Linked DNA regions of Rhinolophus ferrumequinum. The protein of the gene in region 4 interacts with the protein of the main gene of each other region in a pairwise test. Links are inferred from orthologs where the notes say so. Each region holds a gene or a part of one and is shown on either strand. Other genes may lie near its edges.

Region 1 (7,682 bases), on a different chromosome or scaffold from region 4:
GTGCCTGCCTCTGCTTCATCACCCCCCTTTCCTGCTTCTGCCTCCTCCCCAGGTGTGGAAATTGAAGGTCCCTGCGGCCACACAGCCCAGCCCCTGCTCTGCACACACAGGGACTTACACCAGCAAATGCTGCACCCAGACCCTTTTCTCTACCTGAGCTGCCCAGCCTCACCCATGTCCCCAGCCAGTGGCCAAGGGCCATGTCACTGCCTAGTGGCACTGAGGGAAGATGCTCAGCTGTCTCAACATGGCCGTGGCCTCTAACAGTCTGGGGGGATTCTCCCCTGGTTAGGGAATGGGGCAATGATGGGACTCTGTGTTCTCGCCAAGGGTGTGCGGGGGCTAGACAGTGCGACCTTGGCCGAGACCTGACCCTGCTGTGGCTTGGACACCCGGCCTGGGCTGTGTGTATCAAAAGGTTATTGTTGGCCTGGTGCGGGTTCCAAACGGAGGCCAGCTGCCAGCGGCCGCCTGCTCCCTAGCCTGGTGTGTCCTCCCAATGCAGAGGCTGTGTGCTGGGTGACCTCAAGGAAGTCACTGGAACCTCACTGGGATCCCCCTTCTCCCCTTTTCAGTGTCTCTCTCCCGTTCGTGCCCTTCTCTCCACCCTGACCCAGCCTCTGCCTCACACCCTGCATCCCATTACCTACCCCAGCTGCCATAGGCTCCTCCCCAGCTCAAACACCCACCATGACTTCCTGTGGCCCCTGCTCACCAACCCAGGCTTCTCTCTGTCCCAGAGCCCACAGGCAAACAGGCAGTGACAATCCAGTGTGATCAGAGCTGTGATGGAGAATGCCCCAAGGCTATATCTGACCCAGCCTGGGGGTAATTGAGGAAGACTTCTCAGAGGAACAAGACATTTAAATTGAGACTTGGCAGTTGGACTGAATGGTGGGGAGAAAGGGGTAGGGGGTTGCGGGTAGGAACAGCAGTACAGTAATGGGATGTTTGTTCCACAAGTAAGAGAAAGCCCAGCTCAAAGGTGGTCTCCTGAGATGACTGGTCCTAATCCCTAGGCTCTGTGACTATGTCACCTTCAATGAAATCTTTGCATCTGGGATTGAGTTAAAGCCCTTCCGATGGGAAGATTATACTGGATTACCAGGTGGCCCAGTGTCATCACAGGATCCTTAACAGCGGAGACATCTCTCTCTGTAGTTAGAGAGATGCTACACGAAAAGGACGTGACCCATCATCGCTGGCTGTGACGATGGAGGAAGGGACCTTGGGCCAAGGAATGTGGGCGGCCTCTAGGAGCTGGAAAAGGCTGGGAACAGCTTCTCCTCTGGAGCCTTTGGGAAGGAATGCTGTTCTGCCGACACTTGGACTTTCACTTGGTGAAACCTGTGTTGGATCCCTGACCTCCAAAACTGTAAGAGAAACATTTAGTTGTTTTACACCACCAAGCTGGTGGTGATTTGTTACAGCAGCCATAGGCCACTAGTACAAGCAGGAATTGTCCATTGGATTTGGTGTGTCACCACAGCGATCCAGTCCCTGCCAGGCTAGAAACAAACCAGGGAGTGAACACAAGTTGTGAAGGCAGATGGCAATACGGCGAACCTGGGAGTATGAAGTTCATGGGTCTCCAAAGAGGTGACCCTGAGGCCTGAAGGGAGAAGGAGGTGTTTGTGGAAGCCCAGTCCAGGCTTTGCCACCTTGGCCAGGCCACGTGTGCCCTCTGTGTGCCTCTATTTTCTCATCTGTGAAATGGGCACGGATCCCAGTACTGCAGATTCCAGCCAAGACAGCAGGGACAGTGCCTGGCGCACAGTGAGGGCATGACATGTGTGCATGGATTCTTATGAGTCAACTGATGGGTGTTTGGCCAGGGCAGTTGCATGGTGAGTGTTCTTTGCCACTCACCACAGTACTGTGACGCAGGAAGCCCTTTTACAGAGGGGCAGCTGAGGCTGGAGGAAAAGAAGTGAGTTTCTGGGAGTCATGAAGTCCCACAGCACTGGGACTGGAGTCAGACCAGGTAGGCAAGATTCCAGGAACTGTATGCGGAGCTGAAGGGCAGGGCCATTCCCTCTCTGGACTGGACAATGTGGACTGGCCCCTTGGTTGTAGCTGGTAACTTCCCTTCTGGCGCGAGCATGCTCCAGGCAGAGGAGAAGGCCAGTGCAAAGGTGCAAAGGTGGGGAGAGCTGGGATCTACAATCACAGTTGCCAGTTACGGAGCAGCCTCCCTGGGAGTTCTCTGGGTACCCCGAGAGACCCATTTTGCAGATGGAAGACTGCAGCTCAGAGAGCTCTCTGACCTTGTCCTGCAGTGTCTAAAGGGGAAGGCACAACCATGTCGTGGGGTTTGGGGAGGCATGGCCCTGGCTTGACGTTATGAGGAGGCACATAGCTTTGCTTCTGTTCTGGGTCCGAGGGAGAAGACACAGCTTTGGCCTGAGTCTGAGGGAAGAGTCATGGACCTGCCCAGGATCTGAGGGGGGAGGCACAGCCCTGCCCTGGGTCTGAGGGGGGAGGCATGGCCCTGCCCTGGGTAGTCTTAAGGGAGAGATATGGCCTTTGTTCTGGGGGTCTGTAGAGGCCAGGCCCCACTCAACCTCCACTTCCAAAGCCTTTCCAAGGAAAGTTTCTGGGAAACATTGAAACCTGTGTCTCACGATGCCCAGCAGTCAAAGAGCCTCTTAAGTCTGTCCCATCAGTGGCAGCAACAAGGTGGTCACAGGTCACAATTGGATGCTGGAGGCTGTGGAAACTCAGGGCCGCTGGGCTACCCATGTGACCAAGTATGAGCCTCAGTCTCTGTCTGTAAAATGGGGTCGTAATTGTCCCACCACATGGTGCTTGTGTGAGGATTAAACTTCAGGCCTGGTACCTCCTGAGCTTGTCATTTTGAAACAGAAAAATTGTGTGTTCTCATTCCCACTGCATTCCCAGAGCCTTGCCTGGGCCTGTGCACAGCAAGCACTCACTAAATGTTCAGTTATTCGAGACTATTGAACACCTACTATATGCTGGCTGTTGGTCTCACTTATTGGGAGACATCATTGATAACTCCTGGATCATAGGATGGCTGTGGGTGAAGAAATCAGGGTGCTAAGCAGTGGGGTGTAGTGGGGGATACAGCTCCTCCAGGGAAGGGGTCAGGCAACCTTTTGAGAAGCAGGGAAAGAGAAGGGACAGTGGGAGGGGCACTCCCAACAGAGGGCATGGTCAGGCAAAGGCCCTGAGGTGGGATCCAGTTTGACCCACCCCATGGGGCCAATGAAGCTGGGTGAGGGACAGATGACCTTAGGGCAGGCAGCAGAGCCAACCGAGGACCGAGGAGATGCCGTGGGTACCCATGTGTGCCTCAAGTCTCATCTAATCCTAAAACCCTGGGAGACAGTTTCTGCCACCTGCTCAGAGAGGTTAAGCAACTTGGCCAGAGGTCACACAGCCAGTGTGGCTTGTGGGATTTGAACACGAGTCTTCTGGTTCCAAGGCCTCTAGGGTGGTACCTCATAAACTTCTGCAGAATGAATGCATGAATGTCGGTGGTGTGAAGTGAGCCAGGGCAAGAGAGGCCTGAAGCAAAGGACCGGCCCTTGGTGGACCTGGGGATTTCCTGGATTCCCAGGGATGGAGCCGGCGCGCACTCTGGTGGTCAGAACAGGAATGGCTTGGAATTACCTGTGAGCTTTGAAGGGAAAAAGACCGTGGCTGGGCAGATCCCTGTCCCTAGGCTTTTGACATTCAAGACCCGTAATACACAGGCTCCCATGTTTAATTCCTCAACGCCCTGGCTCCGATGCCTCCTTCTCCAACCAACTCCTATTAATTCTTCCAAACCTGGCATCTAATACCCTCTCCCCTAGGAAGCCCTGTCTGTCTCCCCAGGCAAAACCAGGGCCATCCTAGAGTCCCATCCTTTCGCTGAACATCAGGGAGGGGGGTGTCTGCATCCATCTCTGCCTCCTGCAGCCATGGAGTATTTCAGAGCACCATTTTCATTGTTTCCCTGCTGTGTCCTTGCACCCAGCACAAGGTCTGGCATGCAGCAGTTGCTCAATGAATGTTTGTTGAGTGGGTAAATAAATAAATGCATGACTGGGCTGGAATTTCCATCGATCCTGTCCACATTCATTCACCGAGTGTTTATGGACTGCCTGGGAGGAGACACTGTTATTGAGTTCAGCCGAGAACGAAATACAAACATCCCATCTGCTGTGGAGTTGACCCTACATTTCATCAGGTGGTAATAGGTGCTATTGAGAAGGGCGTCTCAGTAGGTGAGATTTGAAAGACGTGAGGAACGCCAAGCGGGTGTCGGGGAACGGAGCACCAGACAGGGGCACAGCCAGTGCAAAAGGTCGGGAGGTGAGAGCGCGCTAGTCGCGTCCCAGGATCAATGAGGACAGTGAAGGGAGATAGTGGGACTTGAGGTAGGAGAAATAATGAGGATAGTGAGGGCTTTTGTGGGTTTGGCTGGACCTCGTTAGGCTCAGGCCCGGCTTCGCGGTCTCCGAAGCCGCCTCTAGGCTTGCCCCCCAATCCCTGCCCGGCGCTCAGCTCAAAAGACTCCCGCTTCTAGTTTGCCCCTCGGCGGCCACCGTCGTCGGCCCTCCGCTGGCCGTGCGCGCTGCTCGTCCTGCTCCCGCGCACCCCGCTCCGCCCCACGCCATGCGTGCCGTGCGTGCCGTGCGTGAGCGTGCGCGAGCGCGTCGGCCGGCGAGGGAGCAGCAAACGGCCAGCGGCGGGCGCCGCGCGGGGGGCGGGCGGCGCGGAGGAGGTGGCGGTGGCCATGGCCGAGGCATCGCCGCAGCCCGGACGGTACTTCTGCCACTGCTGCTCGGTTGAGATCGTGCCGCGCCTGCCGGTGAGCCCCGCGTCGGGGCGGCGGTCGGTGGGCCCTCTCCTTCGGCCTGAGGCGAGCTGGCACAGACGGGGAAACTGAGGCCCGGTGGCGTTGGCCCGGGGCTCAGCGGAGGGCCCCGAGGCGGGGCCTGTCCCCGGTGGCGCAACGGGGCCGGTGACCCCGGATCCGCGGCCTTCCGCCCCGTGAGGCCCCTGGGTCACCGATGGGGAAACTGAGGCCCGCAGAAGCCGCGTGACCTGCTCCGGCACGCCAGTCCAGGAGGAAGCGGGACGCCGGAGGAGCAGTGTCCGGGGGCTGTTCCCGGAGCGCGTGGTCGGCGTCGCTGCGGGCCTCCCGGTGGAAGCCCCCGTCTGCCCTCGGTCGTGGGGACGAGGCGGCTGCGGCCCTGCCCAGGTCCAACAGCTGCCCCGAGCCTGCGTTCTTGCGTTTCCCTGGGGCTTGAGCCTAGCCTGCGGCTCGGTGTTCTCTCCTGCTTACTTAGGCCAGTATCTTCCAAGATGGCCTGGTGGCGCCATGTGCGGAAGGGGGCTGCTTGTTCAAGTTTTCCAGGCCCCTCTTCCTAGGGTTTTTGAGTCAGTTGGTCTAGGATGGGACCAATGTTCCCCTACCCCAGGCTGACAGGGAAAGCGATGGTCTAGTCCGACCCTCTCCCACGTTACAGGTGGAAAAACAGGCCCACGTCCACTCAGGCTGGCCACGGTCCTGACATCTGCACTGACCCAGCTCACGGAGCAGGAAGAGGGAGGTGTGGGATCTGGAGGTGACGATTTATTGAGCACCAACAGGGTGCGCTTCTTGTCCTTTATCTCCACAGTCACCTGGCTGGTGGGTGGTAGAGCCTGTTTTGATTTCAGAGCCAGACTCAGTCCTGTCTTTCCAGCTCTGGGGTTCCCTGGGAGGGGCCAGGAGAAGGAGTCGGTCAGCATGATCCCCGCCACAGAGAAGAAGAGGAGCTAGAGGTAGGGTTTGGAAAGGAGAGAATGGGTAGCAAGGGGCTTTCCCCCTCCCCAGGGGAAGGGAGAAATAAAATGAAACCTCAGGTGTGTGAGCACAGACTTGGGGAGCGGGGACTTGCCCCACTCCGGCCTCCCGGAAGTCTTGCTTCTGCCTGTTTGGCTTCCTGCACACCCCGTCTCTGAGCCTTTTTTTCTGGACCGTGGCAGGAAGGTGCTGGTCGCCTGACAGCCCAGCAGCCTGGATTAGTTAGTTGCATGCAGCACTTCATAGGTGGTGTGAGTCCCAGGTCTTAGGCTCCAAAGCAGCCTGTCTAGAACCATCCGGAAGCCGGGGGCTGTGGCTGCTGTGGCAGGGCTGGGCAGTCTGCACAGCTAGGGGTTCTGGACCTCCCTTCCTGGGGCCAGCACAGGGCCTGGGTCCTGGTCATGTGGCCTTGGACCAGGAGGACCCTGACCTTTTCTGACTGTCACTGGTCTGATGAGGACATTCCTAGTCACAGAATCCAGTGGTGACAAGGTAGCCAGGATCTTTGCCCTCAGATTTTAGAGGCTGGTCAGGGAGCCAACGTTGAACACGTGATTGTCAAACATTTAGTCAAGAATGTTGGTTAAAGTCGCAAGAGCAAATCACAGTGGGGAGGGGCTGTTGGGGTGGGTGGGAGAGCGCCTGCTTGTGGGTTTGGAGTGGGGTTCAAGGAGGCTCAGCACACAGGATGACGATTATGAGCAAGGGCCACCACACCTGTTCTGGGGGAGGGAAAGTTGGCTCTTAACTGAGTGACAGTGGAGGGTCCAGCCAGCACTCAACCGGAAGTGGGGACTTGTTTGTGGGAAACTAGCCCCATTTTGTGAGACACTCTCGCGGCTTTTATGCAGCTTCTGGTGCTGCTGTGACAGGAACTGGCTGTCATTGTACCACCTGTTCAGGACCTTGGACTCACAGATGCCTCTCTGTACCTGCTGGCTTGGCTGGAGGGTCAGGCTGAGGCCACTTCTCAGCTGTGTGGCTCTGGGCGAGCTGCTCACCCTCCCTGGGCCTCAGTCTCCCCGCCTGTCAGATGGGTTCCATGAGGTCCAGTGGGAGGGCGTGTGCACAAAGGAGCCCAGCGCCTGACTCCTGGAATGCACAGGGAAAGGTGGGCAGCGTGGCCGGGGCGCGGCATGTGGGAGCAGGGACCAGACAGGCTGGCTGGCGTGGAGGCCTCAAGGCTGGTGTACAGGCCCAGGCTTGATCCTTACCAGGAAACGGAGCTCTGGGGACATGGGGGTGTGTGTGATGGCAGGAGCGTGATGTGGGCCTCATGTGCATCTGCTGTACCCTACATCCTCAAGGTTTGTCCAAAAGTCAAGCTCCGTCTGCAGGTTCCCACATGCCTGTCGTGTGTGTGTGTGTGTGTGTGTGTGTGTGTGTGTGTGTGACACGGTGTCTCCATCGGAATCTCCGTCCCTGTCGATGGTGTCAGTAGCAGGCTGGCTTGAAGTGTGTGTGGGACGGGCACATGGCTGGTGCACAGTGGGCCTGAGATGACGTCAGGTCCTGGCAGGGCTTAGCACCCCAACATCTAGCAGTGTGCATAGGGTGCTTTGGGGGACAGATGGGATGTGACTGTGGGATATGGGGAACATTTGGGGTGGGGTCAGCTTCCTACTGGGTCTGGGCAGGTGTGTCTGCCCAGTGACGTCTGAGGAGGGCCGTGTGGGGCGGAGGGAGCAGCCAGTGCACCCCTAGGATCCATCTGTGTTTGTGTCTGAGGCCAAATACTCCTGACGCAGTTCTCCGTCCGCCCTCCCTGGGTCTGCATTGCGTCTGGAGCCCTGCCTCTCCCGAGGGGCCTGGGCCATAGAGGCCGACATCACTAGACCTGTGATTCAGTGTAATTCAATGGGGCCAGCCAGCTGTCTCC
Region 2 (8,059 bases), on a different chromosome or scaffold from region 4:
GACTAACAACAAGACATATCCTAATTAAACTATTAAATGTCAAGAATAAAGAAAGAATTCCTCAGATAGTCAGGCAAAAAAGCAAGTTACATACAAGCTTAGGGAAAAATTGTCCCACCTCAGAATTCTCCATAACATTCAGTTCCACAGGACAATGGAGAAATATCCATAAAGTACTGTGAAAAATAAAATTTAACTTTAAAGTATTACAACTAATCTAGATGTCCCTTGAGCTTAGAAGCCACAGACAGATATTCACTAGCATGAGAGAACTCAGGGAACACAATATGTGTCATTTCTTCCTGAGGAAAAAAATTTGCTTGACAGTGACTTCCAGCCAAATAAGAGACGATTAAAAATAAACTTGAGAATGGCAAAGCTCAGTAGTGTGTCTACCTATTACATTGTTTTGTACACCTGAAACTAAAAATCAAACAAACAAACAAACAAAAAACTGGTAGTGAACAGTGAAACTGTTTAAATACAGGCTGAATAGTAGACATTTCAAATACTAATAAAAGTATGGTAGCAAAACTAAATCTAAGTATTATAAACCTGAATAATTTTAAAATAATCATGTAACTATCAAAATGGGGAGATAGGAGAAGGGGAAATGGGAGAAAGTTTAAGAGTGCTGATGTCCTCATCTTTCAAAACAGGGAATAAAGAGATATTATCTAAATGTCTATTTTTTAATGTTACATGCTAGCTTCTTAATGTTTATTTCTAAGTCTTGTTTTTTAACATTAACGGGTTCTTTTGAAGAAAAAATATCACGTGAAGAAACATTTTTCACTTTTTTTTTGTTTTTCTACTGCTAAAGTCAAACAAAATATAAATATCTTTCATTAAAAATATTTTTGATGGTCTCATCCTGTTTTCATAATTTTTACTTATCTGTCTACTGTTCTATTCTTCTAACCATATAATATGCATGGAAAGATATTCACAATGATGTTCTCTTAATGCTAAGGATGGCAATTTCTGAATTTGCAATAATGAAAAAGAAATACATTATTGTACTTTTCTGCATTGCTTTGTTTTTCTATAAAGATTGTATCTTATTTTACAAAAACAATCAGGTGACTATTTTCCCATTAAAAAATTATAAGCAGTATATCAAGATGTTAACAGTGGTTTGTTCTGGCTTATGAGAAAATGGATAATATTAATTTTTTTCTTTGTAATTTTCTGCAGTTTTTTTAATTTACAAACATAAAAAATGATTTATTAACTATTTACTTTTTCACCATTTTACTTCTCATGCATATGTATTTTATTAATATATTTTTTCATAAATTTGATGTTCTGGGAAATAAAACAAATAAAGAGTATAAATATCCCAAATAATAAATAAAATACAAATAAAGAGTATAAATATTCCAAAGAAAACCATAAAGAATATAAATGTTCCAAACCCGCAATGTTCAAGGACAAAGCGTGTCAGTAAAGGCATGATCAGACTAGGAGCACTAAGTTAGCAATTAACGAATGACATGGAAAAAGTGAGAAAAGTATTCTTTAACCAATTTTATCTCATTATTATTTATTACTCAAGTATATGAAACACCCTGTGTTTTGTGTACTGTGGCATATTTACAACGTATGGCACCTGACTAGAATTATACACCTGGTGACATTGAGCTAACAGGGAAGAAATAGCCATCTTTATTGTTACCTTATAAACCACATCAGCAACTGAGAAACAACAAAAAAAAAATTAATCTAAAATACCCCACTTTACGTGTGGAATTTTAGAGTGTGGAGAGGGATATGAACATATATTTGCTTATGTCAAAATAAAAATAACAACAATAACAATAACAATAATAATAGAAGGATAAACTAAAAAACTGAAAAGAAATGCTACTAGAAGGAAGAGGTTGGAGGGACAGAAATTAAAGCTACACTTCTCTGAATGCATTATGTTTTGAATATTTGAGTTTGGAACTATGTATTTTTACATAATGTTCAATTTAAAAAGCAGTCCCTAAAACTCAAAATCAAAATGATCAAATGAACCTATGTGTTTAAGAGTTAGTAGCATAACTATACAGAGAAGAACTTTTAAAGTGACTTTAAAATATAGTAAATGGACTGAACATACCTAGTGTGATATAGCCTAAAGATAAAGACATGCAAATAAAAACTATTAATCTGTTTCTAATAATCATATTGTTGATCATGTTGGCATTATGCATTGGGATAAAGCTAATGAGTAATTATGTTGACGTCACTGGGAGCTGGAATTTTTTTGGCAGGATAGAATAGATGCAAAACAGAAGAGGTTAAGGAAAGAGACTATGGTATCCTGATTTGCAGAGGAAGTGTCAATATACAGTTATGATTTTACACACAAACATTTCCAGTTCTATTCATTGAAAAGGTCTTGAAACAATGAAGTACTCAGTAGTAATATGCATCCACAATGCCCAGATTATAATCTCTAATTATCATTTCTACAAAGGAAATGAGAGTGCCTTAAATGCAAATTGCAGGTCTGAGAAAGAAAATACACAACTTAAACCTGGCATATCTTGTCTCACCAAAAAACAAGACAGCCATTAAAGCCTATTCAAGACACATCAGAAGTCTCAGGAACCAATGTGAAATGTCACCCACGGTCCAAGAAACTGGATAACTTGAGCATCAGTTAGAAGAAGGCCTGCTTCTATCCTTCTTTAAAGGATTGAAATACTTCACATGTTTAATTCCATGAGGTCATAATCATCCTAAAAGTTTTGGAAAAAACGTCCATGCTTGAATGTTTTAATTTACCAACTCATTTTTAAAATTGGTCAAAGGAAGTAATCAAGCACTTATCCCGTCTTTCTTATATTTATAATGTCTTGGAGTAATTAAATAGTTGTTGAGAGAAAATGTTTCTCTTTATATGGAAGAAATAGTCCAGCTAACCAATAAAGAATGAATGATAAAATCAGAATAACACTATTTTGAAAGTACTAATGAACTAATAGATCTAGAAAATGATCATTAAAGACTGCTAACATCTCAAAAGAAGAAACAACCAGTTATCATGTGTTTCCTAACAACACGTGCAAAGCAGCTTTGTCAGAAAAACCAAACCTACAGGGGATCAAGCTTCTAGATACAACTACCAATTAACAGGAAACAGGACAGAGGAACAAGTTAAAAGAAACCATTAGGAGGCAAGCAGTAAACTCCAGAATGTAGTACACTTTATTGATTACTTTTATCCATAAACTATGGCTTCTGGGAGATTTTAGAGATATACGAACCAAGTGCAGGGTATGATTTCAACTAGTAAACTGTATGGGGTAGGGATTTCTGAAACAAGAGGAATATTTGAACATTGACTGGATATATAATATTGTAACGAATTATTTTGTGTTGTTTTAGGTGGAATAATGGCATGGTTCTGTTTTTATTTTTAAAATCTCTACCATTATATAAATATACAGGCATGCTGAAATATGTACAGTTGAAATGTCTGAGATTTGCTTCAAAATAATCTGAGTGGAAGTGAAATAGGAAGGATTTCTAGATAAAATTTGCAAATTGTTTCAAGTGGATGATTCTCTCTACTTTTGTATATTTAATATAATAATTTTCCATATAAAAACTTATAAAAACAAAAAATAGAATGCCTCTGGTTGTGAGGCTAGGCCTAAAGAAATGAGAGACACATGGGAATTTCAAAATGCAGGGTTATGTAAGAAAGAACATATATTAGAGGAAAAAATTACTGGTTTATATGGGTTGCGAAAATTATTTATTTTATGCATTACACTAAATACATCGGAGTTAGCTGCAAAATATAGTACTTACTGAGTAAAGAGGAGAAAACATCTCCACCAAGAAACATCATTTAATTCATTTAGAGATGAAAGAAATGTGTCTGCAAGGCAAACCATGGGCTCATGGAAAGCTGTGATTTCTGTACAGATATTATTAGGCTAATAGTTTCGTATTGTTAATGACCACGCAATTAGCATCTTCACTACACTTGTTTTCAGATATAGGAGAAATCTATGAATGATCTTTACAGTCGTTTAGCGACACCCGGTAAGTATCTGGTACCATCTTGCCGGTTTCTTAATCTTCAGCAAGAAAGGGTAGGAGAGAAGAAGCTGAATATCCTCTTTCCCCCTGCTTCTGGATGTGGCAAGGAATAGGACTTAGCTATTTTGGAACAAAAGATATCCTAGAATGGCACTGAAATAAAAGTTCTACCTGCAGTATCACGTTTAAATTCCCCTTTCTCCAAAACCTGCATCCATCCTCTGAAATACTTTGGTGACTAAAAATCCTTTTGTAATGCTGAAGATATTCGGGTATTCCAGCTGATATGGGAGAAGGATGTTCTGCCCATGGAAGGAGGCTGTATCTCAGAAACACGTAAGACAGTCTGCAGATGGAAACAGAAGGTGGAAAAAATGCCTTCCACCCCTCCTCCCCCATTTGAAGTGCTCCTACTTTCTTAGCACGATTTCCGACGACAAGATCTTAATACCTGAAGTTATTTGCCCATCCTTAGAAGTGCAACTTATCCTGACGTCTCAAGGGACGGAAAAGTTGCCGAAGTCCGAGGAATGAGTCACTTTGCTCAATTTTGATGAGTAATCTCAAGTGTCAAGGAACACCGTTTGGAAGAAGGAGAGGGGAGGGGGCGTCAGATCTGCAGACGGAAGAAGACTGGCCCCTGGGGATTGGATGGCGAGATCTCGATTTTCCTAAAATTGCGTCATTTCGAACCCAATTGGGTCCAGATATTATGGGCACCGACCGGTTACCGTCTCGGAAACTCTCAATCAGACGCAAGCGAAAGGAGGCGGCTAATTAAATATTGAGCAGAAAAATCTCGTGGGGAGCGAGTCACGTGGGTCTAGAGGCTCGTGGAGTCTCAGATAAATGCAGCACCTCACTAGGCCGGCAGAAAGCGCGCTGCGACCTCCTCCTCCATCGCCACAGCGACCCAGTGTGGAGCGCCCCGCGTGCGCTCAGACCAGCCAGAGCAACCCAGCGGGCTCGGCCGCAGCAGTAAGTGCCCGAGCCCTGCCGGGGGGCGCGCCGCGCCGCGCGTCGCTCCGAAGTGGCGGCTGACAAAGCTGCATGGGCCAGCTGGGGCGAGAAACAGTGGGGGTGCAGCAGGGAGACAGGTATTCCAAATGCCTCTGTGCCTCTTTGTCTTCCATCTGCGGAGACTCCTGGCTTGAAGGTGTGGATTGGTGGGTCGGGGGCAGGGGGAGTTGGGATCTAGGGAGAAGGGGATTCGAGAAGCTTTGGGGCATGGTTATCTTTCCTAAAGGATACAGGCGGGACTTCAGCCCTTAGACTTTTTATCTTGGTTCAATTGCCCTTAGTTCTGTTGTGGGACCGACAATTTTGCTGCTCCAACTCTTGGATAGCCACCCCCGATGCATGTATTTTTCTCTCCTCGATCTCTTCTCCCCACTCTGACCAGAAATCCAACATGAAAACCCTTGTGGCTTTGGCAGTCGTTCTTCTTGTGTCCACTCAACTGTGTGCAGAAGAAATCGGAGCCAGTGATGATCTTAATTATTGGTCGGACTGGTCTGACAGCGACCAGATCAAGGTGAGCCCTGGTCCCAAGCTGGCCCATGTCCTTTTTCCTGGGCTTGGGACCTGTCACTTCCCCCCACCCCTAGTTAGCCTGGTGGGCACTACGACCGCGACCACAGGCAGTGGGGGCACACGGGGGGGGGGGATGTAAAGGAAGCTACTCCCTGGGACCCGCACGAGATTTTGTGCCCACCTTCCAAGTTTCTTCCCGAGGGCTGCGGGTCGGGTCTCCGGAACTCACTGAAGCAATGATGCCCTTCCTGATGAGCCCGGGGTCCTCACAAGGCTGGAAACCTCAAAAGGTTTCATCCCCAGGTAACAGGGATTTCGGGGAACTCCAGTCCAGCTGCAAGGACCTGGCGTTTGGAAACGCTGAGCCGGGGTAAAGGAACGCACCCCGGACATAGGCAGAAGCGGGGACGAGGGGCGAGCTGCTGGGGACTTAAATGAACGGAGGTGGATGGGAAGCTAACGTGCTGCCGTGGCGTTTACTTTACGGACCTGAACACGTAGCTGCCAGTTTTTCTTTACATGGCTCGCAGGTTCTTGGTACAAGGGAGCGCGCCTCGCTGGAACGTCGCTCTGTGCGGGTCACTTGTAAAGCTTTGTCACCCTTTCCCACTCATCCCCGACAGACACACCACACCTGTGTGCATTTAGAGTGGCGAGGCGTCTCCAAAGCCGGCGCCAGAGCAAGACAAAGTCTGGTGGCTGCGCTGCAGATGACGGAGGGGACCCGGGCTGGGAAGAAAGAGTGGAAAGTGTACAGGGCTCAAAGACACCGAGCCTCCTGCAAACTCGCAAGGGTTTAGGGGAGGCAGTGAGCTGCACAGGAGTTCCGCTGGGAGGGGTGGAGGCAGGGGGCGCCCTGTCCTGGACCCCCCTCGGCCGGGCGTGGGTAAGCCAAGCCTCCTCTCGCCTGCCTGTGGAGCCAGCTTCCCTGTCCTGGCCCCACCGGACCCCAGTGCGGGCCGCCGAGGTTCGCCCAGGGCTGGAGCGCACCACGGTAATGACTCAGGTTTCCGGGAGCCTCGTGCCGGTTGCCTACACGCCCATTTGTTCGCACGTCTGTCCCCCAGGAGGAGCTGCCTGAGCCCTTTGAGCATCTTCTGCAGAGAATCGCCCGGAGACCCAAGCCTCAGCAGTTCTTCGGATTAATGGGCAAACGGGATGCTGGTGAGATGGGCAGCCATCCCTCTCTTTATCTCTCCCGGCAATCCGCCGGGTCTGCCCACTCATTCTCAGGGCACTCACTCTCTCTGGCTCTTTGACTAGAGATTTCTAGCCTAAAAGGGGTGAAATTCCCCCTCCCCACCCACCCCTGGGGCGGCGCTTGCCCTCACCTCACTGTCACACGCACATGCCCGCGGAGGGAGGGAGACATCTGTTTCATATGCCTCACAGTGTTGTAACCAAACCACCAAGAACAGGAACCAACCTTAGCTCCCTGGACTAAAGGTCCAAACTGACCAAGCAGGAGCCTCAGGGAGTAGTAGTCTGATTAGTCTAAGTGCATGTGGAAGCTGATTATAGACGATTGGGGTTAGAAGAGACTTAGCTGCCCCTTGTCTAGTGATAGAAATATTCACTTTCTTTGAATTCATGTACCATCAGTGGGACCTGTGAACAGTTAATGTCAATTGTCTCTTGTCAGATTCCTCAATTGAAAAACAAGTGGCCCTGTTAAAGGCTCTTTATGGTAAACATTTCTATAAATCTTTATTTTACTATTGTGAATACATATGTAGGAAAGTGAAAATGTCTTTTATAGGCTGAAATACAGATTCTTGACTAAGTTTGTTTAATAAAAAGATGGATTTGGGTATCTCTCCCTCTCTCTCCTGAGTGTCTAATTCGTAGCCATCCTTGAAGATGTGTTTCTTATAGGAAAACAGAGGAGGTATGGCCTAGTTGTTAGCAGGCCTCAGGAGACTCATACTCCTGGATTTGAATCTGTGACCTATAGAAAGCACTTAAAAATATTGTGTTGTTTGTTAAAATATTTTGCTTTATTATCGATAATTTGGTGAACATTTATGGCTCTGTTATATTTCTCAGGATAGTACAAGAATGGGCAATGTTCCATATTTTAAAAATCAACTTATTTTATATTTCTCTTTAAAAGACATAATGTAGCCTCTTTAAAACAAATCTATTGCATTTGCTCATTTTATCTTTCTTTCTTCTAGGACATGGCCAGATCTCTCATAAAAGTAAGTTCAAAATTATTTGCACATTTATCAAACACAAATGTAAAAGATTGAATTCCACTTTATATAACACCTGATCTTATTTCCTGCTTCAACTTGGGACTTAATATTTTAAATTAAGACAATATAAGAATGGAGGAACTCATGTTTATATCCAGAACATGACTGTTTAAAGCTCTGTTATTTAGACATATCATACTTAACAAAATAATACATTATGTTAAAAAGCTTTTAACTCCCAGGTAAACTGCTGCTGAATTTCTGACTCACAGAAACTATGAGAT
Region 3 (8,453 bases), on a different chromosome or scaffold from region 4:
TGAAAGTCTCTTTTAATGTTATTGTTTCTAATACTAGGAATAAAATGCATACATAAAAAGAAAAAAAGATATTTAGTTATTGTTTTAGTTTTATACCTTATAGCATCTAATTGTGCTGGATAGGTAGCAGGGTCTCACCTACCAAATGTTAATATAACTGAAGACTTTATGAGCTATTTCTGAAATTAACATTTAGGTTTAATTATTTAAGATCCAGTTTTCCACAGTGAAAAGAACTTGTCATATTAAAATAGGATGTGCCATCATTTTTAATAAGCTACTTTGTAGTATGAAGATTTACACTAAACATAATTTAACCTGTTCTCTTTTCGGAACATTTTCCTCTTATCACCCAAAATATGTGGAACAAACTGATAAAGGATAAAACTGTCTGAAATTAATCCATGGAAGAATTAACTTTTAAGTTCTTTATTTATTAATGAGAGCATTTGATTATATGTTTTTTTAAGTTTGAAATTAAATATATTTTTAGTTAAAAAAAAACCTATTAAATGTGAAGAAAGATGAGATTAAACCTGTCACCCCTTGCTAGTATTTTTATACATCGTCCCAGGTTTATTTTTTTACAGTAGGGGTGACAGTGATGGTGCTCAAATTTATACCAAAACACATTGGCTGTCACTAATGAATAATTGTTTTTCCTGATGTGTTAGGGGCGACATAAGAGTTGTAGAAGAAACAGATTTTTGAAAATATTTAAAAGGTTTGCAGTAACATTTTATGGACACTTAGGTTATCTTTATTAAAAAGGTATTAAAGTAGCTTAAATCAGGGAGGAGAAATTCATGGCCATTGCTTTTTACTTCCCAAGAGACAGGAAAATGTATTCTTCATGAACTGCTCTACCATAAGGTCCTTACAGAACAACTTCATTAAATGATCTTACTAAGACAGAGTGTCTGTCTCTGTCACTGGGAGGAAAAGTAATGGCCTATTCCTGGGGAAATCGCATTATGATCCAAGTAATGTACAGACATAATAATTTGGTAGCCAAGTGTACTTGTGATGGATGTTTGCTGGTGTCACTACGTGGGTAAGAGAGCATTGATTGAACGACAGTCTTGGACATTCAGACTTATTATTTGTAATTGCAGAGTAGAACAAAAAGAATGATAGGGTTCTTGCGTTGCATAACTGTGTTCCGGAAAATTATCTCTAACACTGTTAAGTGGAAAGCTGGCAATGAGATTGTTTATGTTAGATTAAGTAGTGGTAGGATATAACCCAGAATTTAGAAAAATAAAAGAGAGATACCTAGATGGTTAATTAAAAATGTTCGTCTACGAGTTTTGGTTTCTTTATTTGTTTGTGGTTTTCCTTTGTTGTTTTCAGTTTTCCATCCCACATATCAGTGAAATCATATCGTTCTCAACTTTTTCTGTCTGATTTATTCTGGATGGTGAATGTGATATATATCCCACAATGTGATATATAGATGATGTATTACAGAATTGTACACCTGAAACCAATGTAACTTTACTAACCATTGTCACACCAATAAACTTTAACTAAAAAAAAAAGAATCGTGGTAAATTAGGAGATTATGGCCAATAACAGTCATCAGGCTACTCAGGCCTCTTATAAAGCTATAGCCCTATTAGGACTGAAAATTGTTAACAGAGTCCTTGAAAAAGTATTTCAAAAATAATTCCTTTTAAAGGTATCTATATTCATTTTATTTATTTTTAATGAATTTATCAGAAACAATATTACATTTAGTAATCAATAGTGAATACTTGCTTAATTGTAATTGGAACATGTTTTTTAAAGCTTAAATTATTATTTTGTTTTTTCAGTTACAGTTGACTTTCAATATCACGTTATATTAGTTTCAGGTGTACAGCATAATGGTTAGACATTTATGTAATTTGTGCAGTGATTCCCCCCGATTAGTCTAGTACCTCTTGGCACTATACATAGTTGTTGCAATATTATTGACGATATTCTCTATGCTGTATTTTACATCCCTGTGACTATTTTGTAACTACAAATTTGTATTTCTTAATTCCTTCCCTTTTTTCACCCAGTTCTCCAATGTTCCTTTGCTCTGGAAACCATCAGTTTATTTCTGTATCTCTGAGTCTGGAACTAAATTTTCATTTCTCTTATCAGAGGCCACTAACAAATAATCCAATGTGTTTAATAGCTGATTGCCACTGACGTGATTGATTTGAACTAGAACAATAACATCAAAACCCATTCAATGATGCAATGATGTATTTTTTATTAATGAACTGTCTGTAGACGAAATCATGTAAAATTTAAAAATCATGTAAAAGTAAAACCTATGTTTATTATCAAATTCCTTATGTTGAATAGTATTATCTTGGTATAATTTGGTAAATCAATAATTTTAATCTGGTCTTTTTATTCAACAACATAAGTATTATATTTCTTCAATATCCAGTTTTTTCCCAAAGGATTCAAATGGACCTTATATCCACAGGAAATTCCTTTGACTATTGTGTAATTTGATGAATTGTTGAGAATTCTGCAGCAGTAATTTGTCTCTGCATTCTGGACTTGATTTAGCTTTATTCTTTTTCTCATAGGCATTCTGAAATATTATGATGGAATATATTGGTAATCTGATATGGGAGTCCTGTGAGAAACAAAAAGAACTAATTACTAGCAAATTTAGAAGCACAGGCATATTCTTTCAAATTCAGTTTCTACTAATAAAAGAAGTGAAATAATGGATGAGATAATAATACAAACCTAATGATCTTTTAAAATTCTATTATTGTTTTCTCTCTCGATTCTTCGATATTTCATCACTGGTAATTAACCTGATCATGTGAGTCCTCTTATACAAATGTGGTGAACACCTGCTTTGGTTTTAGAGGAATTAATCAAGCAGTGTTCAAGATAAACAGAGTTGGCCTTGACCGATCAGGTATTCCATGTTCTAGTGTTTCCCAGAAGGGATATTTTAGTTATAACATTACCGTGAATACCCAGAAGCAAATTTGGGGTAAGTACCTTAAAATTAAATAGATTATGAATATAGTATATATGCTATAATATTGACTCTGAGTATTTAATAGAATAGGAATACATTCCAATAAACTTTGGTAGATAGTGTTTAAATTTATCAGATTAGCATATTCCTCTTTATTCTCCTTAAAAGATGTCACACATTTAAATATCAAATTCTTATAGAACTATTCGTCAGGTTGTTTAGTTCATCAGTACTTTGTGATTTCTGATGAGATACAATCCAAAGCCAATGAGGTAAGTGAATTTTTAAAACCAATTTTTGTATGCACTTGTAATTTATTAAGTGTCTAGAAATGTTCTAGAATAAACGGATGCTCAAATAATGTACTTTTTAAGTGTTAATGTTGTTAATAATAATGAGAGGAAAACTTCCAGGTTTTACTATAAGTAAAAATTATGTATTTTATGTAATATTATTATGTAATATTATTTTTCTAATACAGACTAAATACATAAAGATGTACATAATGGAATGCCACTTGATGACTTAAAAGTACTGATAACATTTTGACTATATATCTACAAACCAACATTTGGGCAGAAATTTTCTGAGATATATAATATATTAGAAAATGATACACAGAAATTTATTTTGCATGTATAACTTCTCTTATTCATTAGCTTTTACTATTGTTGTGCTGCTATTTACAATCTTATATTCTAATTTAATCCTCGGTAAAGCATTTGCTTGATAGCATATATATATATATTTATATTTGTAGTTTATCAAAACACTATTTTCTAACAATTGCCTTGGATTAAATTTGGATTACATTTTCCTTTGCAACTTGTATATCTAGACAAATAGATTTAACTACATATATTAGAAAACAATTTGAAATATCTAGATAATGACTCCACAGCTTAGTTTTGGAGAATGTTTGACTATTAGTAATCTTTATATGTAAGAGTGATTTTAGTGACTCATAACCCATTCATGGGTCATGGTGACCTTCCTAATGGTGTGCAAAACACTCTAGAAAGATAGTTCTTCATTTCTTTAAGGCTCACAATACATTATTTTGAAGGCTTTCATCTTTACCTCCAATGAAAGTTTACTTCCTAGTAACTTACTAAACTATGGGTTGTTAAGGGTTACTAAAGTGTATTATCTATAAGGTAAAATTAGTGTTGCTAAAACGTATGAGTCCTTCAGAGTGTACTATTCCAAAAGTCTTTGGTAAAATTGCAAAATTCATTCTGTTCAAGATGTAATTTGGGTTGAATTTCCTGCAGTTTTAGTGGAGAGTATTTTAATAGGGTCTCATTACTGTTGTTGTGAATCGGTTATAGTTTTCAATTGAAGTTTTCTTATATTTGTTGTTTGTCAAATTATTCTTTGATTTTTTTTAATGCTCCCTTCTTTTGTTATAGCTGTACCATTTATATTTAGTTGTAATTTTGTTTCTTTTCTCTCTTTGGAAAGGTACATGTGGGTTTTGGGGTATTTTGCCCTACACATTTCATAAAGTGTGAGAATTCCTATTGTAAAAAGCCAGATTACTTAATCAATTTAGAATACATTAACTCCGTAACATTATAGGTCCCAAATCACAAAGGAGTGTGTTCATTTTTTATTCCATTTCTCTTTTTTGATTTATTAACCATTCTGGAGTAGTCTGGACAGAGGGTTCTCTTGATATCAAAGTTACAGTTATCCCATTTAAAACCACAGGAAAAGATAAGAAAAAGATCATATAGCTATTTAGGTATATTATTACTAATTATTATGCTCCAGAATTATAATTTATCCTTTGATTTTAAAAAATCGCTATATATTTTGGACTGGTTCTTGAAGGAATATAAAAAAAGACCATTAGCCTATAGCCTATTTCTCTAATAGATGATGCTTAGTCTGAAAACTGGCATTAGAATCTTCTTGTGGTAATTTGTCCTAACAAGACAGAAAATTCTAATAAGTAGAAAGTTTTCTGTTTAGTTTTTTATATGGTAAAACTAATATATTTATTAGTTTTGAAAACTAATGTATTTTGAATTGATGCACAGAGGTCAAAATGGATAAGATCTTGTTGTGGAGTCTCCTATTGACTTTTTCTGGAAGTCAAGCCTCAAGATCCTTGGCTCAAAGACATACTGAATTTGCAGTGGATCTTTATCAAGCTATTTGTTCATCTCATAAGAACAACATTATATTTTCCCCCCTTGGAACAACTTTGGTTCTTGGAATGGTACAACTGGGAGCAAAAGGAAAAGCACAACAGCAGATAAGACAAACTTTAAAATTTCAGGACACCTCAACTGGTGAGATTTTAACATATGATTATTTATATTGGATAAGATCTAGTCAAATTTATTTTTTAAATATTAGAGAGAAGTTCAGGGTCATAGAACTTTAATAAATTAAAAATATTATAGAAAGATTAAAATTATAATAAAATGAGGAATTGTAAATGTAAATGATATTTATTCATTTATAATCATTTCATAATGAAAATGTTGCCAAAATAGTTTAAGAAATTAATTCTATACAGATGTAAAATTGTGTATATCTGTATATTTTCTTCTACTCTAATTTAGCCCGTTGTAATTAATTGAGGTTATGTTGTACGTGTGTTTTTATACGTATACCAGGGGTGCCAAAAAATGTGTATACAAGTGGACACTTTGGTCAACGTTGCTCAAGCAGTAGTTTGCTGTAATCAGAAGTGTCTGGACGCTGATGGTAACCACTTTGAGCATCTCTTGTAATTGCAGAAGTCAAACGTGACTTGTATTCATCTTTTGTTATGCATTGGTATTGTATTCATCTTTTGGTATACATTGAGTATTATAGTTGCAATACAGTTTTCCTTTCTTAAAATATGTATACATTTTTTTTTGGCACCCTCTGTATGTACCTACATATGTATATACACAGATATTCTTCCACTATCACTTACTATGTTGTGATTATTTTCTCATATCATGCAACTACTTCAGAATATAATTTTTAATTGTTGTATTTTACTATCTCTTATGGAAATACCATCACTTACTTAATCCTTCTTTATTAGTTTGCTTCCAATACTTTTTTTATTAAAATGTTTTGGTGAGTACCCTCACCCAGAAATCTTAGTGTGCATCTCTGTTTTGTTAGCTTTTTAAAATTAATTTTCTAAGTAAAATTTAACTTTTTCACTTAAATCAGATCAAGAAAAAGCATTGATGTATATATTTTAAAAGCTTATTTGGTTAATAGTTTTTAAAGAAAATTTTTGGAGATAAAAAGCATTTATACAGCCCTTCAGAGGCCTTTTTGAGTGTGAGTGGTTGTTGTTTTGGAGTATCCCAAAGGTTCATCTGAAATACTGTATAGAAGCTTTAGTGCTGGCATTCCATTTGAAGGGGTGGTTGCCTATTTTCCTGACTCTTCTGTGTTCTCAATTTCCATAATAATTTTAATTTCTAACTTTTACATCTCTGTTAGATAATCCATCCTGAACATCAGAGGAAACATCCAGGTTTTTGATTTGGGAATTTATTCACTATGACTAATTTCAATATGTTTGCCTTAGTACAGATTAGTTATATGTAGGAATTTGTTTTTCTTCTTTACAAGGTTTTACTTGTGTTACTTTAAATAAAGTCAATTTTATAGAGAAAAAAAGTTGGTGATAATGAAATTCATTGCAAGGGTTTCCCTATGTGAATAATGGAAAATGAAGCTACTGTGTTCCAGATTTAGTCTTCACTGTCTATAATAATTTCAACAAATCCCACTATACAGTCCCAGAAACATTTCAGTCCCATGATACTGCTTTGGAAAGTAATAGAACATTTATGAAGATATGTAAAGTTGAATCCATGATAAATTAGTAAAATTAGAGCCTCTGAAATCTAAATTACTTTAAATGGATTTCATCTTATATAGAAACACGTGTCTTAATAACTCTAGGTTGTGAATGAAATAATAATCATAATGATAATGATGTCACTTTCAAGTATATATAGTGTCACAGTCACTGTTTTATGTGCTTTATGTACATGATTTCATTTAATATTCATAATTACTCTGTAAAGTAGACATAAGCCTGCTGTACAGATGCGGACACTGAGGCAAAGAAAGATTAAGTAACTTGCCCAGAACTATTCCAAAAATAATTCACTGAGGGTTATAGATCACATGAGCAATAAAGAAAATTTCTATATTTTCCTTAGAAGAGTACATATGGATAATTTCACATTAACATTTTGGCACATATAACAAAATTTACCAAACTTGCTTTCTATTATGCTCCCTTAAGGGAGATACAGATAAAAGATAACTGCAAAAAGAAAAGAAAGACTAGCCAACAATGGAGAAGATATGAAAAAGAAACTCTGGAAAAAAAAAGAGGGGGACACTAAGGAATAAAGAAAAAGGAAACACAGAGTTAAGGGAGGGAACAGAGTGAATGTGCAACAGGATGGAGGGGGGAGGTCTGCAGAAAGAAGAGCAAACTAGCACTAAGGGTAGAATGAAGGGTGTGACAGATCAGAAGAAGGTAGTGTCTGGCAGAGCCATATTGGAACCCAAGAAAAAAAGAATAATCAGTAATAATGATCTTGCCTTTATTTAAAGTTTTCGTATTTTGTTCATCATGGATTTACGTTAATACTGATTTTTAAAGTGCAGAAGGTGCCAAAACAATATATACACATTTTAAGAAAGGAAAACTGTATTAAAATTGTAATACTCAACATATACCAATAACAAAAGATGAATACAGGTCATGTTTGACTTCTGCAATTACAAGAGGTGCTCAAAGTGGTTACCATCAGCGTCCAGACACTTTTGATTACCGTGAACTACTGCTTGAAGCAACGTTGACCAAAATGTACACTTGTATACATATTTTTGGCACCCCCGGTATATATGTTGCAATAAAATATTATTTATCTTGATTACTGAGTTTGATAGCATCTTTTTAAATTTTATGCGCAAGGTGTCTCTGACTTATGTTAGTCCTAGCTCTGCCTTCAATACCCACTGATTGTCAAAAGATACACTCTGTTGAATCAGTCTATATTTTACTTTTTTCTGCTAGCAATCTGTTTTACATTAACAGCTGACTTATTCTACAGATGGGCACACAACTCCTGGTGTCCCACCCCACTGGTATTCTCAGTATCAGTTCCCCGCCTTTCCCCCATTGCTAAAACATCTGTTCAGAACTTACCTTCTCCAGTTTACTGAGCTTCTGATAATGCTCTGTTTTCCTTGGCATCTAATAATGCTGCTTACTATGCAAAGGCTAAATTGAAGGTGCTTCTTTATTCCAAGATGGTTATGGAAAGAGAACTGGACATGAATTCCTGACTCAGCTCTGCAATCAAATGACCTTGTGATTTGGCACCTCTCAAGTTACTGTATCTCTCTGGATTTTAGAATCCTCACTATAAAAAGATGAATTTGGATGAGATGATTTATATGGACCCTTTGGCTAAAATCA
Region 4 (7,378 bases):
GGTGGGAGGAGGGAGAAAAGAAGAGGATGGAAAGGAAGTAAATCCAGGGACAGAAGCAAGGTTGCTGGTAATGGCTGGGGAAGAATGCATTCCCTCATTCCCTGTGTCAAAGAAGGGGTCTCGGTGACCTGTTTTCCTCTGCGTCTGCTCCTCTGCCCCCTTTATCCACTGCCAACTCAGAAACCTCTCTTATGAGTAGCCCAAAGCCCACCCTGGCTCCCTCTGGTGCCATCACAACCTATGACACAAATGGATGTGTCAACACACCTGGTGCCACTCTGATGATGTCAGCTTTGGGCCCTGCCCTCTGATGACATCACTTGTCCCTTTCATCCAGCACCCACAGAAGACTTGGTGAGTCCCAGTCCTCTTCTGTGGGACTTTACACTCTCACCTTGTTTCCTGGGAGTCAGTAAGAAGGCCTTGGAGTCCAGGCAGGAGGTCAGGGACCGGAATTCCTCCACACACTTCTCGGGAGGGTGTGGCAAGCGATCTGGAAGGGCAGAAAGGCCAGGCCCCATCAAACCCTCTACTTTTCAGCACCGCCCCTGGTGAGCACCTCCTGGAAGCATCCAGCCCTTCCTGGGATGATGTCACAGGGCCCAGAGTGAGGGACTCTTCTGCCCCTCCTGTGTTTCCCACCAACCCATCCTGCCTCCCTACTCACTGTAGAGGAGGAAGCGCTGATAACCCTGGCCCGTCTCTTTCAGCATGATTCCACCTGGGCAAGAGCTGGAGAAGAGCTTGGTCTTCATGTCTGGGCGGCCTGTCAGGGTGGGTTGGGGGGAAGTGAGAGGACAGAGATGCAAAACCAGGCAAGCCCAGGAGACTTGGGGAGCTACAGAGAACCAACCTTCAGTTCTGAGATCTGTGCTCCCTTCAGTAAGGTGGTAGATCCATTCCCGGGGCACACAGGACCCATTTTTCCTGCAAGGAGGAAAGACTGAGTGACATCCCCACCACACAGTACCAACCTTTATTCCCTCTTATTCCTTCTTGAAGCCCGGGTCCCCTTGGGTTTCAAGCTACCAAGGGATGGTTAGGCCCATCTCTCCGCAGAGGAAAACTAATAGAGCTGTTGAACTCAGTGGGCTAAAAAGAGTGAATATGCCAAACAGCGCAGCTTTTTGTGGGTGGGTGCTCACACTTTGGGCAGAGGCTGTACCTCTTGGTCCCTGCCCCCTCACCACTCACGTGCGGATGGTAGCATGGAGCTGGAGCTGTGTGGGTTCAGAGCCCACAGCCATGTTGAAGACAATGTTGTCCACAGGGTCAAAAGTCGCCAACTCCTCCTTGGTGGGAGCTGCCCCTGCGATGAAGTACCACTGGCCCAGGTGGGGCTCTGGGAACTGGAGAGACAAGGGGAGCAGAGGAGGGTGGGTCCCACTACAGGATTCATCTAACCTCTGTCAGGACAGCAAGACTTAGGGGCAGAGGTGTTGGCTGCCTTTTTCCAACTGGGGCTTGGATCCATGATAGGGAGTCATTAAATGACTTTTCCTCTTTGCCCTCAATCAACCTGAGTAACTACGCCCCCACCCCCTGCTTCCTGCCAATTCTACCATGTGTCTACATTGATGGGCATAGTACTGATATTTTTTTACTTGTCCTTGCTTTCATCATCACAACACTCACACTGTCTTCCTCCTTTCCTTTCCCAATGTGGCTTCCGGTCACCCTAGGCCACCCACTCAAGTCCCTCATAGCCCCCGCTATAAGCGTCCCCCTTTTCTCCATACCTCTTTCCCATCTACTCCCTGAGTTGTCAGTTGACTGTGCTCAGGGCACTGGTAGATGGAGTTAAGGAGAATGCCGTAGAGGTAAAGTAGAGCTGCCCAAATTTGGTGGAACATCTTCAAGCAATAGGGAGCTGGTGCTCTGCGTGCAGTGGCTGGTGCTTTAACTGTTCTCCGCTGGCTGCTCAGTCCACTCTGCTTCCAGCCCCCTTGCCTCAACCCTTGACCCTTTTACCTGCTAATGAGTAACTTCAACCTTGTTTTCCAAGTATGGAGTGGTTCGGCCCTTCCTCCCCCTGTCCTAGATGCAACCACTCCACAATACCCCCTGGCATGTTCAGGGTCTTTGGGGAATTATAAGGAAGCTGAGTCCTGAAGGTAGAAACCTGTGTTCTTTCAACCCATATCTGAGCTGGATGTCTGCTGTGTTGTGCAGCACTGAAGAGAGGTGGATTGATTGATTCATTCACTTACGGTAGCAAACTCTTTTGAGTTCCAGCTGTTTGCCAGGAACTCGCTAAGCCTTGGGGACGTAAAAATGAGTAAGACACAGTCCCTGGCCTTGAAGAAGTCAGTCTAAGGAAAACTAGCTGTGTAAACAAATCATTGCAATACAACCTGGTAAGTGCTTTAGAACAGATATGAATCAGGTGCTGGGGCATGGTTGATGGGAGGCTTTCTCTCTGAAGTTTATAATTGGGGAAACAACATGTACACCATCCAGAAAAGTTCACTGACAGATGAGTTCACTGAGTTTATTACTACAAGAGGCTCCATAACCTAGTAGTTAAAGATGATAGACATTGGTGTCAGGCAGAATGGGCTCAAACCCTAACTCTACCAGTTACTAGAACTTGGACAATTTTATTAATCTCTTATGCCTGTTTTTTCACCTGTAAATGAGTAAATCATCAATCTCATAGGCTTAAAAGAGACAATGCATAAAAGCCCTTAGCAAAGGCCTGCACATGGCAAGTCCAAAGTAATTATTTGGTAAAATTAATAGTAATGTTTGTAAAGCACTTATAGCTTCCGGTGGGTAATAAATTCTCAAATAGGAGGTAAGGAAAGAATTGTCAAGAGGCAGTCATTGGATAATGCCAGTTGAGTTGGGTGGAGTTAATGCAATGAAAAGGTGGCGCTTCCTCAATCGATTTGTAACTCAAGACTGACAAAAGATTTGTCCTGCGAGGTGAGGCAGGCTTAGGGTATATGAGGGTGCATTATACTATTATTTTTAAGCAATATTTGACATTTTAAATAATAAAAACCAATTTATTGGGGCAGTAGAGGTGCCTGACCCAGAAGGGTCTAGTAGGCCTGGATTTGTCAGTTTTGCCACTTACGTTGGCTAGGTGTACGCACTATATAAAATGGATGTAGTAACTATCTCAAGCGTTCAAAGGCTTTTAAATGTGACACTACATAAAACCCTTAGAAAACTGGCTGGCACAAACTAAGTGCTCATTAAACAGGTGTTTATCAGAACTCTTACCTGAAACAGTACTGGGACATGGGTATAGATAAACAACGAATCCCAGAAAGGCTGGGCGCCAGGGGCCGGCACGCCGCAGCGACGGGTAAGGCTGGGGTTGTGGCTGCGCAGAGGGGCCCAGACACTAGCCCGAGGGCGGGGGTGGGAGAAAAGGGCAGAGAGGTAGTAACTCTCTGGACCTTAGCCTACGGAAGCACTTTGGCGGTCCCTTCAATTCCCCAGGGTCAGTTTTGTGTTTTGGTCCAGTCGAACTTCATTTGCTCCCAGCTCCCAAACTCAGAGGTACCCCCCCGACACTTTTTTCTTTTTACAAAAGTCATGCAAGGTAAATCCTTAGTTTCTCCAAAACATGGCGTATTCCCTCGGCCGCGCACTGCCGGTGAGGAACATGGCGCCCACACTCCGCAAAACGCCCACCAGGCCGACCCGAGGTCAGGCCCAACGACTCGTCCGCATTCAACACAGCTCGCGAACCACCCCTAACCGCCTAAGGAAAGGGTGACTTCGGGAGGCGCCATAGGAGTGGCGTAGCGAGAGTGAGAGAGATGGAATTTTAGGTGGCCAGGACAGTGCCGTCTCAAAGTCTCTGCGGACTAACATAGGTTAACGAGACACAATCCTCAGTCGCCAAACTCCAAGATCCATACAACCGACCAAAGCGTCTTGAGACAGTCGTAGTCTCATCTGGTGATTTTTTTTTTTCCAGGCATTTGTAGTAGCCACCTCAATCTCCCACTGCACAAGCGCGCGCCCAGAAGAAATTAACAGCATCAGACGATGGGGCGGTGCCTAACTGTGTACGCATGCGTACTGCGATGCACGCAGGCGCAATACGGCCCCTCGGGCGACGGCGGCGGCGGCTTCTCGGGGTGCTCGGCTCCCTCCCATCTTGGCCGGCCCTGCCCGTCTCGCCCCAGGAACTCACTGTTTGGGGCCGCGGACTTTCTTGTCGTGCCCCAGGAAAGTAAAGCTTGGGACCTGGGGGAGCCGGAAGTTCCGCCTCGCGATTTCCAAATACTGTCGGGGAAACGGAAGTGGCCGTCCGTGGCAGGTTGGAGGAGACCGGAAGTGACGGTACCGGGGGGAAGTCGGAGGCGGAGCCGCAGGGTGGTGTGTGTGTATTTGGTGTGTGTTGGTTGCGACGCTCTGCTGGAGAACCGAAGGAAGGCGGAAGAGGGGGGCAGTCATCTAGCCAGTCTGGCCCCCCGTGAGTGTTCGTCATCTCGGGTCTGTCGTGACTTAGGCGGGTTTAATGGGCGTGGCGCGCGTGCGCGAAACCACTTTCTCCGCAGAGTCTAGCGCGACATTCCCTCCACCCCACTCCTCCCCGCTCTCGCGTTGTCCCAGGGTTTGCCGTCTTCTGGGGTCCTTGTTTCGCGACCGGTGATGACACTGGTCTCGCGCTTCCTTCCCTCCCTGCTTCCTAGCCCGACTTGCCCTCCCTTATTGTGATTGGCATCGTGGAGCCCCTCCCACCTCCCCGTCCCCTTAGCTCCCTGTGCGGTCCGTGTCTTGCCCATTGTGTTTTTCCCTGTGCCCCGGAATCAGAAGGGGGATGGGGGCGGGTGTGAGTGTGTGTGCTTGTGTGGGAGAAACTCTTTAGGTATTGGGGCGGAGACTCAGGCCGGAGAGGCTTCTGGGTATATAAAATCTGCTCTGGGCTACAGCGGGCCTCTCTCCATTCTTCCTTAGAGAGCTGTAGGCCATGGAGCCCAGTAACAGTAACAGTACCAGTACCACTATGGAGGCGCCTGACAGCCTGGAGGTGCTGGTGAAGACCCTGGATTCTCAGACTCGGACCTTTATTGTGGGGGCCCAGGTGAGACCCCAGTACTTCTGGAAGACAGTCATTTACCCTTTCTCTTGTAGGTCTCTTAGCCTGAGAGAAAAACCTGATTTTCTGGTCCTCAACTTTTCTTTCGTTGATTCCTTTGTTCATATTCTAGACAGAACATTTTCTGATGTTTCTTGTTGAGTGAGAAGGTATGGTTTCTGTTGAATGAGGTAGATTTTGTTTTGCCTTCCTCCACCTTGATAGAACTCATTGCAGAGGGAAATAATGGAGGGAGGAGGAATCTGTATGCCATCATCTTGAGTGAACTGCAGCTCAAAGGCACAGACATGGCTCCTGCCTTTGGGAATGGAAACAGAACACAGAGACCCCAAAGACAAGTGTGTCTTAAAAACAAAAATTGGTCAGGTCTCTATAGTGTGTTTTTAAAAGCGAGAAATGAGAACTGGTAATGCAGGTAGATCCTTAGTAGACTGTTGAGGGGAATAACTAATGTTTGTGGTATAATTTGAATCTTTGGAGCTCAACAACATGGATACAAGTATCCATATTACTACTCTTGTAATATTTGGAGACAGACTTGTGAGAGGTTGGTCTGTGGTTTTTAAAACACAGTGTTACGTGTATTTCAGAAAACCATGTAGGTTTTTGTGATTATATGTACGTAAGCAGCCTGATACTTCCCAAGAGTCAGTTGCCTAATTAGGAAAAATGTTTTTCTTTTTTGCTGCCTTCTCTCTTTTTCTTCCTTAACCTGATTGTCCACCCGATTTTCCGTGTTGTTACTATTATCTTTGGGATTAGAGTTGTATCATTTTGTGTTTGGGGAGGGATCACTGGTATCTTTAGACACACATTTCTTTGGGAGCCAGGCAAAGGAGTGAAGGGAATGTCAGTTGGCTTTTCTGTTTCTCAGCCATGTACTTTTCTCCTAGGCCTAGAAACTGAATTTCCTTATGTTCATTGTCTGTTTTTGACAGGAGTTGTCTGAGTTTGGGGCTTTGCGCCATCCTTACCTCACAGTCAAGACAAGTGGCTAGTGATTTTATAATGGGATGGTTTTTACGCTTCACCCCCAGAAGTCATTTGTCCCTCTTCTGTCCTTCCTCTTTCCTTCATTCCCTCATACTTGTGTGTGTCCCTTCTTCGCAGATGAATGTAAAGGAGTTTAAGGAGCACATTGCTGCCTCTGTCAGCATCCCCTCAGAGAAACAACGGCTCATCTACCAGGGACGAGTTCTGCAGGATGATAAGAAGCTCCAGGAATACAGTAAGGGGGTGGGGGAGGCATTTGAGAGGTTGAGGTAATTGCCCAGAGGGATGAGCTGAGATGGAGGGTTTACCTGATCATACAATGTTTTCGTGTTTGTTTTGTTTTGTTTCACTTTTTCTCCCCAGACGTTGGGGGAAAGGTTATCCACCTGGTGGAACGTGCTCCTCCTCAGACTCAGATCCCTTCTGGGGCATCTTCTGGGACAGGGTCTGCCTCAGCCACCCATGGTGGGGGACCCTCATCTGGTCCTCGGGGGCCTGCGACCTCTGTTCATGACCGGAATGCCAACAGCTATGTCATGGTTGGAACCTTCAATCTTCCTGTAAGCTTGTGTTCCACATGGGATGGTTTTTGTGGGGAAGGGTAGTTTTGGTTGTGGTAACAGCAGAGGGCTCTTAAGACAGGTGTCGCAGTCTTTAGATTGGGGTTGGAGGGCCCTGCGGTCTGCTAATAGCCGCAGTCTTGAGGGGAAAAAGGGTGGGGCTCCAGAGAATGAGTTGAAAGTGTGGGGGCCTCAGTATTTGGCTTCTCCCAGAGCAACTTCCCTTACCCTTTCCCCAGAGTGACGGCTCTGCTGTGGATGTTCACATCAACATGGAACAGGCCCCGATTCAGGTATCATGGGGCCTGGGAGGGTCAGCGAAGGGGATCTGGGAGAAGGAGGCCGTGAGGTGGGTCGGACCTGGTTGAGGAGATGCTGGGACCTGGTTCAGTAGGCTGTGGATCTCGTGGCTTCATTTCAAACCTGCCCTGATCTTCCCTCTCATTGTAGAGTGAGCCCCGGGTTCGGCTGGTGATGGCTCAGCACATGATCAGGGATATACAGACCTTACTTTCCAGGATGGAGGTAAGTGTCAAGGCTGGCTAGGGTCTGCTGTCACTCTGTCTCCCCATGCTCCCTCCCCCTTTTCTCTCAGCCTGGGGGTGAGGCATGACTGGCCACATCCACTGGGAATCTCTTTTTGCTAATCTGGTCTGTTTGCAGTTCTCGTTCTTTGGGGAGAAAAAGTATCTATGTGAGACTATCTTGTCCTTGCTAATGCTCTTGGTGCCTGGTATCTGGGAAGTTTGTTTCAGACTTG

What was found.
Region 1: the proteins of BAG6 (region 4) and RNF126 interact in binary tests that used the Homo sapiens proteins (3 or more experiments, as listed by UniProt). The link is inferred for Rhinolophus ferrumequinum from reciprocal best matches to the Homo sapiens genes BAG6 and RNF126.
Region 2: the proteins of BAG6 (region 4) and TAC1 interact in a two-hybrid assay, tested with the Homo sapiens proteins (2 studies listed by BioGRID and IntAct). The link is inferred for Rhinolophus ferrumequinum from reciprocal best matches to the Homo sapiens genes BAG6 and TAC1.
Region 3: the proteins of BAG6 (region 4) and SERPINI2 interact in a two-hybrid assay, tested with the Homo sapiens proteins (2 studies listed by BioGRID and IntAct). The two-hybrid records come from large-scale screens. The link is inferred for Rhinolophus ferrumequinum from reciprocal best matches to the Homo sapiens genes BAG6 and SERPINI2.

Annotation. Positions count from the first base shown.
Region 1 is NC_046301.1:62,166,366-62,174,047, forward strand, and holds the start of RNF126 (E3 ubiquitin-protein ligase RNF126), read left to right. Parts: upstream 1-4,640; 5' UTR 4,641-4,747; coding exon 4,748-4,822; intron 4,823-7,682. UniProt on the Homo sapiens protein: E3 ubiquitin-protein ligase that mediates ubiquitination oF target proteins. Depending on the associated E2 ligase, mediates 'Lys-27'-, 'Lys-29'-, 'Lys-48'- and/or 'Lys-63'-linked polyubiquitination of substrates.
Region 2 is NC_046303.1:29,689,464-29,697,522, reverse strand, and holds the start of TAC1 (protachykinin-1), read left to right. Parts: upstream 1-4,796; 5' UTR 4,797-4,893; coding exon 4,894-5,022; intron 5,023-5,051; exon of another isoform or gene 5,052-5,200; intron 5,201-5,446; coding exon 5,447-5,578; intron 5,579-6,644; coding exon 6,645-6,741; intron 6,742-7,219; coding exon 7,220-7,264; intron 7,265-7,754; coding exon 7,755-7,778; intron 7,779-8,059. UniProt on the Homo sapiens protein: Tachykinins are active peptides which excite neurons, evoke behavioral responses, are potent vasodilators and secretagogues, and contract (directly or indirectly) many smooth muscles.
Region 3 is NC_046285.1:74,328,707-74,337,159, forward strand, and holds the start of SERPINI2 (serpin I2), read left to right. Parts: upstream 1-4,985; 5' UTR 4,986-5,036; coding exon 5,037-5,283; intron 5,284-8,453.
Region 4 is NC_046286.1:2,146,594-2,153,971, reverse strand, and holds the start of BAG6 (large proline-rich protein BAG6), read left to right. Parts: upstream 1-4,143; 5' UTR 4,144-4,282; exon of another isoform or gene 4,283-4,458; intron 4,459-4,923; 5' UTR 4,924-4,936; coding exon 4,937-5,050; intron 5,051-6,175; coding exon 6,176-6,293; intron 6,294-6,421; coding exon 6,422-6,618; intron 6,619-6,857; coding exon 6,858-6,911; intron 6,912-7,068; coding exon 7,069-7,143; intron 7,144-7,378. Other genes in the region: APOM (apolipoprotein M), read right to left, coding at 395-493, 668-766, 854-927, 1,195-1,349, 3,886-4,002. UniProt on the Homo sapiens protein: ATP-independent molecular chaperone preventing the aggregation of misfolded and hydrophobic patches-containing proteins.